2 linked regions of the Cricetulus griseus genome follow. The protein of the gene in region 2 purifies or fractionates together with the protein of the main gene of each other region. This does not show direct contact. Links are inferred from orthologs where the notes say so. Each region holds a gene or a part of one and is shown on either strand. Other genes may lie near its edges. The genes, in order: Ppp1cc and Ubxn2b.

The links.
Region 1: the proteins of Ubxn2b (region 2) and Ppp1cc purify together in Homo sapiens (affinity purification with mass spectrometry; 3 studies listed by BioGRID and IntAct, with this or other methods). This does not show direct contact. The link is inferred for Cricetulus griseus from reciprocal best matches to the Homo sapiens genes UBXN2B and PPP1CC.

Annotation. Positions count from the first base shown.
Region 1 is NC_048597.1:102,007,772-102,011,686, reverse strand, and holds the start of Ppp1cc (serine/threonine-protein phosphatase PP1-gamma catalytic subunit), read right to left. Parts: upstream 2,341-3,915; 5' UTR 2,119-2,340; coding exon 2,064-2,118; intron 1-2,063. UniProt on the Homo sapiens protein: Protein phosphatase that associates with over 200 regulatory proteins to form highly specific holoenzymes which dephosphorylate hundreds of biological targets.
Region 2 is NC_048595.1:154,297,288-154,301,102, reverse strand, and holds part of Ubxn2b (UBX domain-containing protein 2B), read left to right. Parts: intron 1-2,265; coding exon 2,266-2,416; intron 2,417-3,678; coding exon 3,679-3,762; intron 3,763-3,815. UniProt on the Homo sapiens protein: Adapter protein required for Golgi and endoplasmic reticulum biogenesis. Involved in Golgi and endoplasmic reticulum maintenance during interphase and in their reassembly at the end of mitosis.

The sequences.
Region 1 (3,915 bases), on a different chromosome or scaffold from region 2:
AGGCTGTGGTTTTGTTAAGTTCACATACAGAAATAAGAAGAAACATATACTGTGCAACTAGCTTATTCTCAAAGCATTTAAATATAGTATCCTACTCTATTAAGTTCAAAAGAAAATAAAAAACCAGCCTGGACATGGTGGTAAAGTCTCCAATTCCAACACTTATAGGAGGCAGAGGCAGGCAGATCTCTGTAAATCTCAGGTTAGCCTTTGCTTGGTAGTGACACTCAGTCTCAAAATTTAAAAAGTAACATTCAAGAAACTATAGGGGCCCATCAATGGTGGCACACACCTTTAATCCCAGAGCTGAGTTCAAGGCCAGCCTGATCTATGTAGAAAAAAGCTGTCTTCAAACCTGTTCCCCCCATAAAAAAAAAAGAAAAAAGAAGGGGGGGCTGAGGTGATGGTTCAGCAGCCAAGAGCACTTGCTGCTCTTGGGGATAACCCTGGCTACGCTCCCAGCACAGATAGTGGCTCACAACCATCTAACTCCAGCCCCAGAGGACCCAATGCCCCTTTCTAACCTCCTTGGTTATAGGCATGCATGTGGTAAACACATACATATGAAGACAAAGCTTAAAACATAAAATCTAAAAACAAAAATTTTTAAAGGGGGAGAAAGGAAAGCTGATGAAGCAAGCCTACACAAAGATAAGAACAAACTACACACACCCAATTGTCCTCTAATCCCGGGTGCTGTGGCCTGGGTGCACTCACACACATCCCATGTGAAAAATAAATTTAAAAACAAAAGATGAGCCAAGTTTACTGCTAAAACTTTTTCAGCATAGTGTTAAACATAAAAAAAAAAAAAAAAAAAAAACACAACGAAATCTGAGCTGGGGATGCAGCCCAGGTGATGGAATGCTTACTCAGCGTGTAGGAAGAAGCCTTGGGTTCAATCCTCAGGACTTCATAACCCAGGCTTGGTGGCTTATAACTTCTAGTACTTGGGAGGAGGCACAAGGATCAGGAGTTCAAGGCCAGTTCTGGCTCTGTGGGACTTTATCTAGGGGAAATGATGATAAAAGCCTTTAATCCCCAGCACTCAGGAAGGGGAGGCAGAGGGATCTGAGAGTTTGAGGCTAGCCTGATCTACACACATCGAGCTCCAGGACAGCCAGGACTGCAGAGACCCTGTCTCAACAAAGCCAAAAACAAAAAAGACCCGATCTAAACAAAGCAATAAAATAAAGTATTAGGGGAGAAAATGCACAGATTAAAAAGACACTTTTTACTTTTCTTTCAATGACTCTGCAGCTGTTCACCACCACCACTCACGGCATGTTTCTTACACGCCAACAGTATTTTAGGCAAAAGCAGCAAAAGCCAGCTAGTTAATAACATTGTCAAGAACCCAATCAGCATTAGGTCGGGAATTGTGGGGAGTCCCTATGTCATATTAATCTCTCACCAACTAGGAACCCACTGCAGCGCCCCCCACCCACCCCGTCATAAGTCGGACAAAAGAAAAGATTTTTAACCTTCCCTTAGCCACTAGGCACGCATGCCCTGCGCTCCCACAGGGTGAACAGTGGAAGAGGGCAGGCAGGTCGTGTCTAGACCTTGGCTACCAGGGGTTTGAAGCGGGACTCGCCCTTGGTCAGGCGAGGTCTTTTAAGTTTCTTCCAAGATAACAGCACCTACCTGGCAGGGCGCTCGCTGAATGCAGCAGCGCGCCCCTCTCCTCGGGACAACAATCTGATGAGCAGAGAGCCACAGACACTGTCACCCCGGTCGCGGCTCGGCCCGTGTGCGGATGCACGTTCAAGGGGAAAGAGCGCCGGAGGGAGGATGGCTTTTTTTTGGGGGGGGGGGATGCAAGGGACGGGGCTCTCGTCGCCCCGGGACGTCGCCCCGCCAAGTCACACTGGGTCCTTGGACTCCAGATTTATCACAATGTGAGAGCAAGGGCAGGAGAGGCAGTAATAAAAACAAGGGGTCTGTCCCTAGACCCGGAGGCGCTGTGTGCGCGCCCCAGATCCAAGCGGCTTCCGAGGACCGGTCCCCACCGGGCCTGGTCCCACCGGCCCCGCCCGCCCGCCCGCCCGCGCGCCGCTCACCTTCCAGCAGCCGTTGGATGATGCTGTCGATGTTGAGTTTATCGATATCCGCCATCGCCGTCCTGCCGCCGACCCTCCCGCAGCGGCGCCGCCGCCGGCTCGCGCCCGGGCCTCACACGTCCTCCTTCCTCACGCCACGAGCCCCACGAGCGGTGGTGGCGGCGGCGGTGGCAGCAGCAGCCGCGGCGGGTCCCCCCCCCAGCCGCCCCGCTCCCGGCTTCCTCCTCCTCTCGCCACTGGAACCACGAGAAGAACAAAATGGCCGCCGACTCGTCAGGCCAGCCTCGGGCGGCGCACGGATGCGCGCGCGGGGAGTGCAGCGGCGGCCGGGACTTCAGGCCCATAGGGCGCGGGAGGGCGGGGCCGCTGCGGGAGGGGGCGGCCTTCGCGCTTCAGGGGCGGGGCCTGGCAGAGACGGTGAGACACCCATCCGCGCGCGGGATCCTTCCGCCAAACGGGCGGGGGGTGGGGGTGGGGGACGGGAGTGGAGGGTGGGGCGGGGAATAGACCCCCACCCCCACCCTCCACCCCCCCGCCCCCACCCCCACCCCCACCCCACCCCCCGCGGGAGAGTGAAGTTGCAAAGTTGGCGCGCGCGCGAGTTAAAGACGGGTATTGTCCGGCGGCTGCTCGTTGCTAGAGTTAAGATCTCCTCCCGGTGCTGCTGATTTGGGGCAGATGTCTGCAGACTCGGCGGGGTGGGAGCTCACCAGGGAGTCAGTCACCCACCCCTCGGAACCAATCTGGGTTGGAGATGTCCATGGAGGATCTTTAGGAGAAGGAAGTTGGAGGGTCGAGGATTCAAATATGCCGGCTCATATTGGTGAGCAAGAAGAGCTGTATGTATGACTCTGTGGTATGAACGCTTGTCTAGTATGTGTGAGACCCTGGGTTCAATCCCCAGCACTGCCAAGATTTCGTAATACTGCAATAAAGTATCTAAGATCCAGTATTTGAAAAAAAGAAAGCCTCCCCCAGATAAAAGAAACGTTAGTCCATTGTGAGTAGTGCATAATTCAGTAACTGTGTACCTCTTGCGTGCACTTCTGCAGTTTTACATTTTAGGGAGAGGTTGGGAGACTTTTGTAAGGTGTCACCTATCTTTAGATTATCTTTCTTGAACTCAGAAAGTTATATAATAACCGTGATGTTCTCCCCTGGATTTAGCCTGAGCTGGATTGAATGAGCGCACGGCAGCAGATAAGATGGGAATTTGCGGAGGAAAGCGAGTTAGAGGCTGCTGTGCGCCCCGGGCTTCAGCACATTCTACTGCTGCTTGCCTCTGGTTTCATCGCCTCCCCGAGGGCACCCTTCTCCAGGGAGCCCCCAACTGTGCTGCCTCTCAGGCTAACTGGATCTGAAAATGCACACCCACCTGACCCATTTCTCTCTCCAAGCAGCCCTTCACAGTTTACAAAAATCCTCTTCCCCACCCCCCACTCCAAAAGCTCATGATTCTCAAAGCAAAAGGGATGCACGGATTCCCTTCCGTGTGTTCCTAGCAAGGTGGCTTCCCCATCTGGAGATTCATTTTCACCAGGCCACAGCAGCATGGCATGGGGTGCACCCTTGCAGATCTCTGGCCTCCTTTCTGCTGCTGGCGCCAACGGTGGAGCTTCTGGAGTCATCCCAGCTCCCCTCAACTGCCTGCACCATTTTACTCAGTCACCAACTTACTCTCCCAAGCTATGTTTTTGCCTACCAGTCCCACAAGTGTCATTTGTCACTCCAAGGCACCTGGCTCAGTAGACATCTTGACGTCTGGGGCCTATGCCAAGCCCTGCTGTGAATATCTTGTTTGGCTCTCAAGGAGTTTCTGGGACTTGGGCTCCTCTGGGGCAGAGTGTATCTT
Region 2 (3,815 bases):
TGCAGAACTGCTCAGTGGGTACTTTGTTTTTTAAGGTCTTTACAAACTTTTAAACATCAGTAAGTTAGGGCCAGACATGGTGTCACATATCTATATTCCCAACATTGGGAAGGTAAATGCAGGACCATCAGAAGCTGAAGGTCAGTGTCACCTAGTTCAGTTCAAGGCCAGCCTCATATACATGAGACCATCTCACTCCTGCCCCAACCAACAAGTCAAACAAAGTAAGAAAGAGCTAGGCATGATGGTGTATGCTTATAATACCAGCACATGCATGACTAAGACAGGAAAACCCGTAAGTTTGATGTGTGCTTGAGTTGCATGGTGAGAGAATGGAAGAAAAGAAGCTTTTAAAGGGAGGTGAAGTCATACCTTCGAGTCATTTTTGAGGTTGCAATGGGAGTGGATAAATATTTTACTGATCAGATGAGTTTCACATAAGAGGAGAACAGAAGGCAAGGACACTGACATCTTGTTGTGGAAAAGGGAAGAAAGGAAACTTAGTAAAAACCAAGGCATGGTTGGAACCCCACTGCACAGAGGGACGAATAGTGTTGTTGCCTTTGGGAAAGTCATGAAAAGACAAAGTTCATTGTGAAGTGAGAAAACGGAAGTGGGAAATGTTACTGCAGCAGTTGTAGATGCTCTTGGCCTGTCTCCACAAAAAACAGCTAGAGAACTCATGAAGCACCCATCAAGAGCAGCACGTAAAGTAGTCATGTGAAACCTTATACCAAAGCTGCAGAGGCCTGAGAAACTGACCAGTGAACCAAGACCGGAACGCTGAGTCTCACACCCTTAGAGATGGCTGTTTTGGCTCTGACAACGATGCCACTGCAGAGCAACAGGGAGAGGGAATCTCATGGCATAGTCCAAGGGAAGATGTTAGTATTGGCCTCTCCATCATGCAACATACAATTATCAATTTTGGATAGATTGTAGCTCTGAATATAAAAGTTCAAACAGTGAGGCTGCTTGAAGAAATGCTGCATTACCTTAGGGGAGGCTATAACAGACTGGTAAACTTTTTCTTATGTCCAGTTTTCTCAGGTCTTTGTCCCAAAAACAAAGAGGCAGGATTGTGAACTTTGCCAGCTTGTTAACCTGACTCAAAGAGGGAAGAGGCTATACTGGGGGCAAACATGGCAGGAAGCTTTGCTCTGCTATCCTCTTTGTCACAGTTACCTGAGGCCATGTGTTAGCCAGTTCCTCCTCTCCAACACTGCACTTAGACAGGCAGGGCATTTCTTTCCTGTTTGCTGCACACTCACACACACACACACACACACACACACACACCTCTCTCTCTCTCTCTCTCTCTCTCTCTCTCTCTCTCTCTCTCTCTCTCTCTCTCTCTCTCTCTCTCTCTCTCTCTCCCAGTATGCAGTGTAAACATGGCAAGAAGCCTTTGTGGGTTGTAGTGTGTCCAGTGACACTGACAGGGTGGTGCCCCTCCCACAGTGTAGTGGGATTCTGCTGAGGTCCACACTTGTGTCCATGGAGATTCTCTTTCACCTGCAGATGAGAACTGCCCGCTTAGGAGAAAACCTGGAAGGGAACCTCTGTTCCTTGTCCAGGGCTGTTGTGTTTCCAATTTTGCTTTGTGAGTTACTGTGAATCGGGAAATGGAGTAAAAGGTGTGGGAAAATAAAAAGTACACTCTTGTCACCATATATTGGAAGTCTCTGTATGCTACTTCATTGATTAAATTTTCTGATATCCTGGGCAGGAAAATCAGTCATGAACAATTAGAATATTAGTCTTAGGTGAATGGAAACTTATGTTTTGTAGCCATTATGAAGATAGAGTCAGGGCAGATCTTAATTACTACACAAGGAGTACATGAAGTTATTCACAGTGGGAATTGTTATGCAGTAGGTCTTTCTACCCGAAGAATAAACCTTCATTGTGTAGCCATATGGGGCAGGAATAGCCTCTGGTTGTTGAGAGTGCTACCCACCACAGGTGAAGAGCTTGGTCTGTGAAAATAGGAAGCCATAAGCAGTCATCCAGGGCTGAGGGCGGAAACAAGGCCTTCATTTGCCCATGTTGGGTGCTGAAGTTGTCAGACTCTCCACAAACTCAGAAGGGATACAAACTATCCCCTATTTTATCTTTGCCTGAATTCCATTTTAAAGTTAAGTGTGTATAAAGAACTCAGGCATTCTTTATTTATGAATAAAAGTTACTTCATATGATGATGTAGCTTCTTAGAGTAGTTTATGACTTTTCTGAGTTTTTATTTATGAGCTGTGATGTTTAAAGGCTTTGTTCAGGTGAACAGGAATATGGTGGATTACATATAGTTCAACCTCCAACTGGGAAAATTGTGAATGAACTTTTCAAAGAGGCAAGGGAACATGGGGCCGTCCCTCTAAACGAAGCCACAAGATCTTCAAGTGATGACAAACCTAAGGTCAGTGCTGTCTTAAAACTGTACTGTTTCTGGGAAGTTGAGAGGTACTTGGACATGTGTCTTGGTAAAGCCTTTGCAATCTTTTTGGCACCCATTGTTGAGAATGACTGTTCTCCACGAAACTTCAGTTTCAGTATTTGGCAGCAGCTAGAAAACTTCCGTCCATGTAGCCTTGAGGTCATTTTAACATTTCCATGTTCCCCAATTCTGTAAGAAAAGTGTGGAACTGATTTAGTCTGTGGAACAAAGGCAGGTTGTAATTTAAAGTGCATTTGTGATGCAAATGGTAATGAAATGAATAGCTATTTCCCCTCATATTGTCCTACCTGAAGACTGTGTATTCAGTAGAGCAAGATCAAAAGTGTGACTGACTATAGCTGACTTGATATAGTTAATATCATTGTGCTGAGAGCTGACTTACTGTACCTTAGAAAACAGCTTGAAATGGAGGCCATCACAGGAAGCCACAGTTTGACATAGTGCAGAGATCAACAGGTCATGGGGAAGCCCAGCCTCAACAGATACGTCTGCATCACAGCTCCTGCATCTATGGCTCAGGGAATATCTCGGAAGAGGGGGCGGAAGAGCTGTAAGAGCCAGAACACCAGGAAGTCAGCTGTGTAACAGTCTCCTGGAAATGGCTGCATAAACAAGACTGGAAGTTTCAATGGACATGTTAACATGGAAGGGGGGAAATTATATGTGGTCACTGAACCCCTAAGAACTACAGCACCAAAAAAACATTCATTATGAGATATGTATTTACATACATGTGTGTATATAACAATAATGAAAAAGAGGCTGCCAACTTGAGAGTGGGTGTGTGGGAGGGGCTGGATAGGGAAAGTGATATAATTTCTATTTCAATTAAAAACATTAAAAAAATCTAAAGCCTATAAAATACATATAGAATTCTTTGTTTTAACATTTATTTCATATGTGTATTCATGTACACATATATCCACAACCCACATGTGGCAGTTAGAGGACAACTTGCATGAGTTTGTTCTCTTCTTCTACCATGTGGCTTTTGGGATCAAACTAAGTTATTTCACATTCTGAGTTACTAATGTTTATGTGAAAAGACATTTAACTTCTCACATACACTTGTTTATAACTTAAGGTCTTTATTCCAATCTATTTTCCTAGTCAGTATGAATCTGGCCAATAATTATTTGTCTAGTTTTGAAATGTCAAGTGTATGAATAACATTTTGACCATAAGCCATAGTGAACTCTTAACCCATTTATCATGTATTTCAGTCATTTACAGGTGGAGGATACAGATTGGGCAGTTCTTTCTGTAAGCGGTCAGAGTATATCTATGGAGAAAATCAGCTGCAAGATGTAGGTACAATCACCAAAATGTTTAAGCCTTCATTTCTAGTTGATACTGCTTT